Mus musculus: one gene and its partner. The protein of the gene in region 2 interacts with the protein of the main gene of each other region in a pairwise test. Links are inferred from orthologs where the notes say so. Each region holds a gene or a part of one and is shown on either strand. Other genes may lie near its edges.

The links.
Region 1: the proteins of Pomp (region 2) and Psmb5 interact in binary tests that used the Homo sapiens proteins (3 or more experiments, as listed by UniProt). The link is inferred for Mus musculus from reciprocal best matches to the Homo sapiens genes POMP and PSMB5.

The regions. Positions count from the first base shown.
Region 1 is NC_000080.6:54,615,064-54,619,361, forward strand, and holds the start of Psmb5 (proteasome subunit beta type-5), read right to left. Parts: upstream 2,933-4,298; 5' UTR 2,929-2,932; coding exon 2,731-2,928; intron 1,759-2,730; coding exon 1,452-1,758; intron 1-1,451. UniProt on the Homo sapiens protein: Component of the 20S core proteasome complex involved in the proteolytic degradation of most intracellular proteins. This complex plays numerous essential roles within the cell by associating with different regulatory particles.
Region 2 is NC_000071.6:147,867,041-147,870,676, reverse strand, and holds part of Pomp (proteasome maturation protein), read right to left. Parts: intron 2,862-3,636; exon of another isoform or gene 1,955-2,861; coding exon 1,894-1,954; exon of another isoform or gene 1,746-1,893; intron 1,266-1,745; coding exon 1,164-1,265; intron 1-1,163. UniProt on the Homo sapiens protein: Molecular chaperone essential for the assembly of standard proteasomes and immunoproteasomes. Degraded after completion of proteasome maturation. Mediates the association of 20S preproteasome with the endoplasmic reticulum.

The DNA.
Region 1 (4,298 bases), on a different chromosome or scaffold from region 2:
CATACCCATACAGAAACTCATAAAGAAACAAATTTTCAAGAAATCAGAGAAAGACAGAGTCAAATTTATCTTGAGATTTCCAGATTCCAGAGCACCATACCACCCATCTCTCCTCACAGTATGTTAACCATCCCTCCTGCTCTCTCGGCAACTCCAAAAGGCAAGCATGCTGGCCAAGTCAAGCACAGGACTCAGGAATGGTGGGAGATAACGCTTAAATGACAACTCTGTAGCCTATCGTTGTCATGCAACACAGTGGCTAGAGACTGCATGAAACTGACTTCAACACTTGAAATGGTACTACCGCCAGGTACTGAGAAATAATTTGGGCATTTTATATAAAATTAACTATACACCAACTCCACTAGTTTTACTGACTTCTGAGATACAATGTTTCTGTGTGCTCCAGGCTGTCCTTCTGCCATACAGCTTAGGCTGGCCTCGAACTCTTGACCCTCCCTAGTGCTCTAGGGTCACAGCTGTGTATCACTTGGCTTATTTATTTTTTACAATGAGGGCCAGTGAGGTGAGTCAGCATATAACTGTTGCTTACCACCAGGCCTGATGTCCTGAGCCCGGCCCACAGAACAAGAGAACCAACTTGAACAAGTTATCCTCTGAACTGCAGATATGCTGTAGGATGTGTTTGTTCACACATACACACACAAATAAATAATTTAACTTAAAATTTAAAAGTGGGGGGGGGGCTGGGGAGATGGCCCCCAGGGCAGGGGGAAGAAGGACGGGCCACTCTTGCCAAGGACCTGGGTTTAGCTCTGAGCACCCACATGTGGCTCACAACCATCAGTAACTGCATTCTAGAGGATCCAATCCCCTCTCTGGCCTCTTCAGGCACCATGAATGCACTGTGGTGCACAGTCATACATGCAGACAAAACACCCAAGCATAGAAAAGAACACAATTTTTTTTCTTTTGGTTTTTTGAGACAGGGTTTCTCTGTATAGCCCTGGCTGTCCTGGAACTCACTTTGTAGACCAGGCTGGCCTCGAACTCAGAAATCCGCCTGCCTCTGCCTCCCAAGTGTTGGGATTAAAGGCATGTGCCACCACACCTGGCTAGAATAGAACACAATTTTTAAAGTTTACAATTCCCCAGTACAAATGTTTTCTAGTCATTATTGCATGGGAAAGAAGGAGAGCTGTTGTGCCAGACATTGTACCAATTGCTCTATGTGCACCACACTTAACCGCTTCAATGGTTCACTTAACCAGTTCCCAGATGAAGAAATAGGCTAAGGTCAAATGACTAAGCAGTGAGTGACACAGCAAGTCTAACTCTATGCTCTTTCCTATTCCGTACAAGGCCTTCCTTGGAAAGGGAAGGAAGAGCTGAGAACCTAATATCGCATCCATTCCCAGCACCTGTTAAAAGCCCTCAATTCTCCCACCCATTTAACCCCTTCCCACCATGGCTCACAGGACACAACTCACCAGGGCCTCTCTTATCCCAGCCACAGATCATGGTGCCCATAGACAGCCCCATGCCTTTGTACTGATACACCATGTTAGCGAGCAGTTTGGAGGCTGCTGCGACCGAGATGCGTTCCTTATTGCGAAGCTCATAGATTCGACACTGCCGAGCCAACAACCGCTCCCAGAAGCTGCAATCCGCTGCACCCCCAGCCATGGTGCCCAGAAGGTACGGGTTGATCTCTATTACTTTCTTCACCGTCTGGGAAGCAATATAAGCACCTGCTGTGGCCCGGGAATCCGCTGCAACAATGACTCCATGGAGAAACTAGTTAAGGTCAGAGAAAACAAAAAGAGAGGCCCCGTAAGACCACAAATACTCCCCATACTTTATTTTTGTATAAATACAGAAAGATAACCTGGCTTTGCATCTTTTGGGATTTTGGAATCGACTTCTTTTTTGGGGGGTTTGGGGTTTGTTTTTGTTTTTCGAGACAGGGTTTCTCTGTATAGTCCTGGCTGTCCTGGAACTCACTTTGTAGACCAGGCTGGCCTCGAACTCAGAAATCCACCTGCCTCTGCCTCCCATGTGCTGGGACTAAAGGCGTGAGCCACCACCACCCGGCGTAATCGACTTCTTATGTTAAATGTCATTCGGGTTTAACAGCAGTTCCTGATTTATGAATAGCCCTTTTACTCACTTTAAATATGAAGTAGCAAGTTTAATGAGATAAAGACACCCTAAGGGGACTGGAGAGAGAGCTCAGTGGTTAAGAGCACTGGCTGCTCTTCAGAGGTTCGGTTCCCAGTGCTCACAAAGGTCTGTAACTCCAGTCCCAAGGAACACGACGCCCTCTTTTGGCGCCTGCGAGCACTACACACGTGGTGTATATACAAAAAATAAGAATAAATCTTTAAAGACTAGCCTAAGATCCAGAGCTAGTTATTGTAGGGCTGGAACAGGGACCCTAACTGTTCGGTACCCACTTCAGTAGCCCCTGGACTTCATCAAGCTCAGTTTATACAAACTTTGGTGAACGGCGACAATGGCTTCCCCCCCGCACCCTCCGCCACGGTCCGCTGTTCCCAGGTAGGGCTCCTGAAAAGGGGCAAACTGGGGTCGCCTAGGAGCCAACCCACGCTGTCCGTCTCCTTCCCTCACCGCCCCCTATCTCCGCCCACCTCTCCTTTCTTAAGGCTACGAGACAGTGAACCCGCCAAGGGTCGGGAGGAGGGGACCGAACCTCCGCCCGACCCGGTTCCGGCTGGGATGCCGGAGAAGCGCGAGCTGTCTGAGCACCTTGAAGGCCAGGGTGGTGGTTCCGTGAAGCATTTCGATTCGCGGCTCCTCCGGGACGCCCCAGCTCGGCGCGGCTAGGCTCAGCCCATCACCAGGACTCCCCGGACCCAAGTCCAGCAGATCTGCACCACCTCCGAGCCCAAAAAACCCGTGCTGATTCACCGGCATCGGCCGCTGCAACACGCTAGCCAGCGCCATGTTTAGCAAGGGCAACAGGAACTGCCTCCGACTGGCAACGCCGCGACGTCACAACTTCACGTCCAGCTAAGTCTAGACGGAGGCGGCGCCATTTTTACTCCGGGCAACCACACCTCTAAATACCAGCGCCGGTCTGTGTTCACCTAGGAAGGATGGCTGAGTGGTTAAGATTGCCATTTTTATTTTGGCATCGAAGTAGTACGGATAAGATTAACTTCTAATTTCTAGAGAGTGGTTGGAATGTTCTTCTCGAGTGAGGGAAGCGAATTCGGCCATCTTTGAGAAGGGCGTAACTGCTTAAGACTCCTAACTGGACTAGGGTGTTTGGTCACTGCCCAGGCCCAGGTTCAGATTGCAAGCTGTTTCTTTATTTTTCAAAACCCCGTTAAGGAGAGACTGAAGTGGCCATTTTCTTTAAGGCCACCTATCCTAATCCTGGTTCAAATAATTGTTTTCAGACCATTTTCCCATGGTATTAATTCAGCCGCAATAGTTGGTTGTCAACAACAAAAACTCCACCGCCTGTTTTTGATAGCATTTATATACATACCCTAGCTAGGGTTTTGTTGTGGCTTTTTGGGTTTTTTGTTTGTTGTTGGTTTTTTAGTTTGTTTTTTTTGTTTTTGTTTCATGCTCTACTATCCGGATTGTTCTTAAATTTACTAGGTAGGTAGGCCAGGCTACCCCCTCTTAACTGGCCAGGTTTTCCTGCCTTGTTTCAGACTAATGAAAGGCAGGCCTGAGCCACACACCAGGCTCACTGCCCCTTAAAGGTTTTTGTTTTGTTGTTTCTTCTTGATATTTATTTATTGTTTGTACATGAATGCTCTATCTACATGTACTCCTGCATGCCAGAAGAGGAAATCAGAACTCTTTATAGATGGTTGTAAGCTACGGTTGCTGGGAATTTAGCTCAGGATCTTTGGAAGAGCACTGAGCCATCTCTCGAACCTCCTTGTTTGTTTGTTTTTTGAGACATAGTCATGCCTTGAGCTGGAATTTGCTTTGTAGACCAGGCTGGCCTCAAACTGGGACCCTCACACGTCCTCTGGCTCCAGAGCACTGGGATTAAAGGTGCTTCACCATTGTAAAGATAATCTCTTAGAAAAGCATTCACCTGTCAACAAAAAGTCTATGGCCAGTGAGCTGAGGCAGGATTAGAAGGTGGGTGGAAAATACAGGCACAAGAGATGGGAGATTCGCCCTGAGCTCTGGAAGAGATGGTTGCATGAGCCTGAGGAGAGGTAAGCAACTGCACGGCTGGACTCAGACTACTTTACAAGGATAACTGAGTTATGAGTCAGGGGACAGGCCAAAGCTACTGGCCTAAGCAATTGTTCAGAAGTATTGTCTCAGAGTTGTTATTTCTA
Region 2 (3,636 bases):
CCAGGCAGTTGGGCTTTATCTAGAGGGCAAAGTGAGAAGCAGGACACAGTGAGAGGTTTACAGTCACTCTGGGGGAAGGGGGCTGGGTGGCATGGAGATCTGGTAAGAACCAGATCTTTAGGGTGAGGGTGACAAGACAAACACTTCAACGTCCTTAGACAGAAGCCCATTCACCCACAAGGTGAAGGATAATGAGTTATTCTACATACCCCCTGTGAAATCCAAGATGCCTGTGGGCCTTCCAACCAGAAAAACAGGTCAGGAGAGTTAGAGAAAGTCAACAGCACAGAGTACAGGCAGGAAACAGGAGAGAGAACAAAGCTGGCCCCCAACACCACCAGCATCTCAGGTGACAGACAGAAGGAACCACAGAGTTGCAAATGGGTTTCAGAGAGGAAGGGGACACCAATTTAAGGTCTATAAAAATACAGGGAAAAGGGAGAAGCTGGGGTGAGAAAATGTCTGCCCTGCTCAGGAGCAAACCCCGCACAGGCCGGAGCCAGAAGACACTGGCTCAGAGAAGGAAGCAAAGTGACAGACATAGGGAACAATGGCTCCCAGCAGCTCAACCTGTACCAGCAGACAAGTGAGGAAAGATGTGGGGCGAGGCAGATCCCTGGGAGTTCAAGGCCAGCATGTTCTACAAAGCAAGTTCTAGGAGGCCAGTTAAAGTTTCTGGTGAGACAGCCTATCTCAAAACTAATTAGTTAGGGATCGATACAATTTTAAGATGGGATTTGAATGTCTGTGACTGCTTCTGATGAGCTGAAGCAAGGAGAGAAGAAAAAGGTGTCCCAGCAGGCAGGGCTGCTGGCAGGGAGCTGTTCCCTGAAGCAGTGTGACGCAATGGGGCCCAGAACCCAGGCAGGGGACAGTTCTCCCAGGCAGAAGGACATCTGCACACAGCTATCCCTTAGCAACAGGCACACCCAGCTGTATATGCACAGCTGCCTGCAGAGGGCAGAGAATCACGAAGGCAGAAAACTATGCTATTCTCAGACACTGCGTCTATGACATGAAGCCGTTCTCCACCTAACAACTTTTCCTATGCGAAGCAGTAACAAGGGTCATGTGCTACAGAGGGAGGCAGGACAGGGAGCATGGAGGGTCAGGTCTGAGAGCCACCATGAGAACATCGGCACAAGGGACAGAGGCAGACTCACCTGCTGCACTGCCTTGAATTCCATCTGTAACTTCAGGGGAGCAAACAGACCCTGGATGTTCCTCAGCGTGGAAAAGTTCATCTTGTCCTGGTTGAGCTGGAACTACAGAAGACAGAGTGACTCTAACCCAAAAGCTCGTTAGTTATGAAGGGAGCAACACTGTTCTGAACACGCGACACCAACAATCCTGAAGCCAAGAGTTAACATTTCTTGATAGATTTTATAACATTTATGTCTCTGCATCTGTGTGTGTGTGTGGCATGTGTATGTGTGGTTTTCATGTGTGTTCACGTATATGTATTCCTGCAGACACCGGACAGAGTCAACGCCAGGTTTCTCCTCAACAGTCCCGTGTTATTTTGTGAGACAGGGTCTCTCACTGAACCCAGAACCCAGAGATTCAGCTAGGCCAGCCAGTGATCACCAGGGATCTGCCCGCCTCCCCTCCTGTATACAGTAACGGCACCCCAAGTGTCTTCAAATATGGCTGTCTGATCTCAAAGGGCCCATACCTACTTCTAATTTTCTACCACGGGATAAAAAGACATAGGGCTGGAGAGATGGCTCAGTGGTTAAGAGCTCTGAAGGTCCTGAGTTCAAGTCCCAGAACCCACATGGCAGCTCACAATGTCATGATGCCCTCTACTGGTATGCAGAAGTAAATGCTAACAAAATACCAATATACCTAAGATAGTTTGTTTTAAAAAAGAAAGACACATAACACACTCACGTTTTTTTCTGATAACTCGAGAGGGTGACTGGGCAAAAGTTCATTTTTCACACAAGAAAACCTAAAAGGAAAAAAAAACCCACAAATATTTAACAGGCTCCTATGCATATTGCTCTATCATAGCTCGAAGCTGTACAGGTGAACATCCATCTTTTTGGTTTTCTGCTCAGAGGGGGCTACAGTGCAATTTTCTTTGATCACCCCAAATCCGGGTTATCTGACACCAGGTGCTTCCACCATGCTGCCCAAGTTTGGCCCCAACAAGATCAAAGTCGTACGTGAGGTGCACCAGAGGCCAATTTGGTGACACAACTGCCTCGGCCCCCAAGATCAGTCCTCTGGGTCCATATCCAAAACAAGTTGGTGATGACACTGCCAAGGCTACTGGCGACTGGAAAAGTCTCAGGGTTACAGAGAACCTGACCAATCAGAACAGACAGGGCCAGACTGAGGTGGTGCCCTGTGCCTCTGCCCTCACCATCAAAGCCCTGGAGGAGCCACCAACTAACAGAAAGAAGCAGAAGACATTAAACTCAGTGGAAATAACACTTTTGATGAGATTGCTAACCCTGCCCATCAGACACAACACGGGTCTCTGACCAGAGCACTCTCTCCTGGGTACTGCACAGTCTGTGGACTGGAAGGTGGATGGCCGCCACTCTTATGACAGCATAGATAACATAAACAGTGCAACAGTAGAATGCAAGCTGATTAGAAAGCAACAAGGAAATATTTCAATAAAAGACAGCACATGTAACTGTGGAGTATCTGGGGCGTGGGGTGGAGCTCAGTGGGTGAACGTGTTTTCAGCAAGCATGAGGCCTGGGACACGATCTCAATTGACACACCCAGTCACCTAGTCACCTAGTCTGGTGGTGGGGGCTATAATGCCAGCCCCTGAGAGGCAAAGGCTGGCGGGTCTCTGAGTTCGAGGCCAGCCTGGCCACAAAGCAAGTTCCACAATAGCTAGAGCTACACAGAGAGAAACCTTGTCTTGGAAAAAACCACCACCCCACCACCCCCCAAAAACCCTAAGTGTGCAATAGGTTTTCTGGGGGAGAGAACACTGATGTCATCTTGATGGTGCCCCTCAGTATAGGGACAGAACGTTTGTGGAAATACATATAACTATGAATGAAAGGCAGCCAGACTCCTCACGCATCTGTTACAGACACTGCTGCTATACAATGACATGGAGGCTGTGAGGGATTGGATATGCTTGGCCCAGGGAGTGGCCCAAGAGGTGAATTTCAAAATATGGTATTTTGGTGATGAACGTGGCGACATTTTGCACTTGTCTGAAGAGTCTGCCTGAGGTTAAGGTGAAGAGACTCAGATTAATTGCACTGACAAAGGAAGTCTCAAAAACACCTATCATAGACTCTGTTCTCTGGCTAAGTCTCATGAAGAGCACTTTAAGTAAGTGTAGCAAGCTGAGAAAGGAAAAATATAAAATCTATTGTTTGAATACTAAAGGGGCACCAGGAAGTGAAATGGAGCTGAATCCTATGCGCAAGGAGATTAAATTGAATTAAGGGAGTAGTGAGTGATCTTGGGGCAAGATTCCTTGCAGCTAAATTTAGGTCAGGCGTGGTAGTACAAGCCTTTAATCCCAGGAGGCAATGAATATCAGGTCTCTGAGTTCAAGGCCAGTCTAGAACAGAGCAAGTTCTAGGTGAAGAAAATCTTAAATCCGGGCTTGGTGGACCACATCTTTAATCCCAATGCTTAGGAGACATGCCA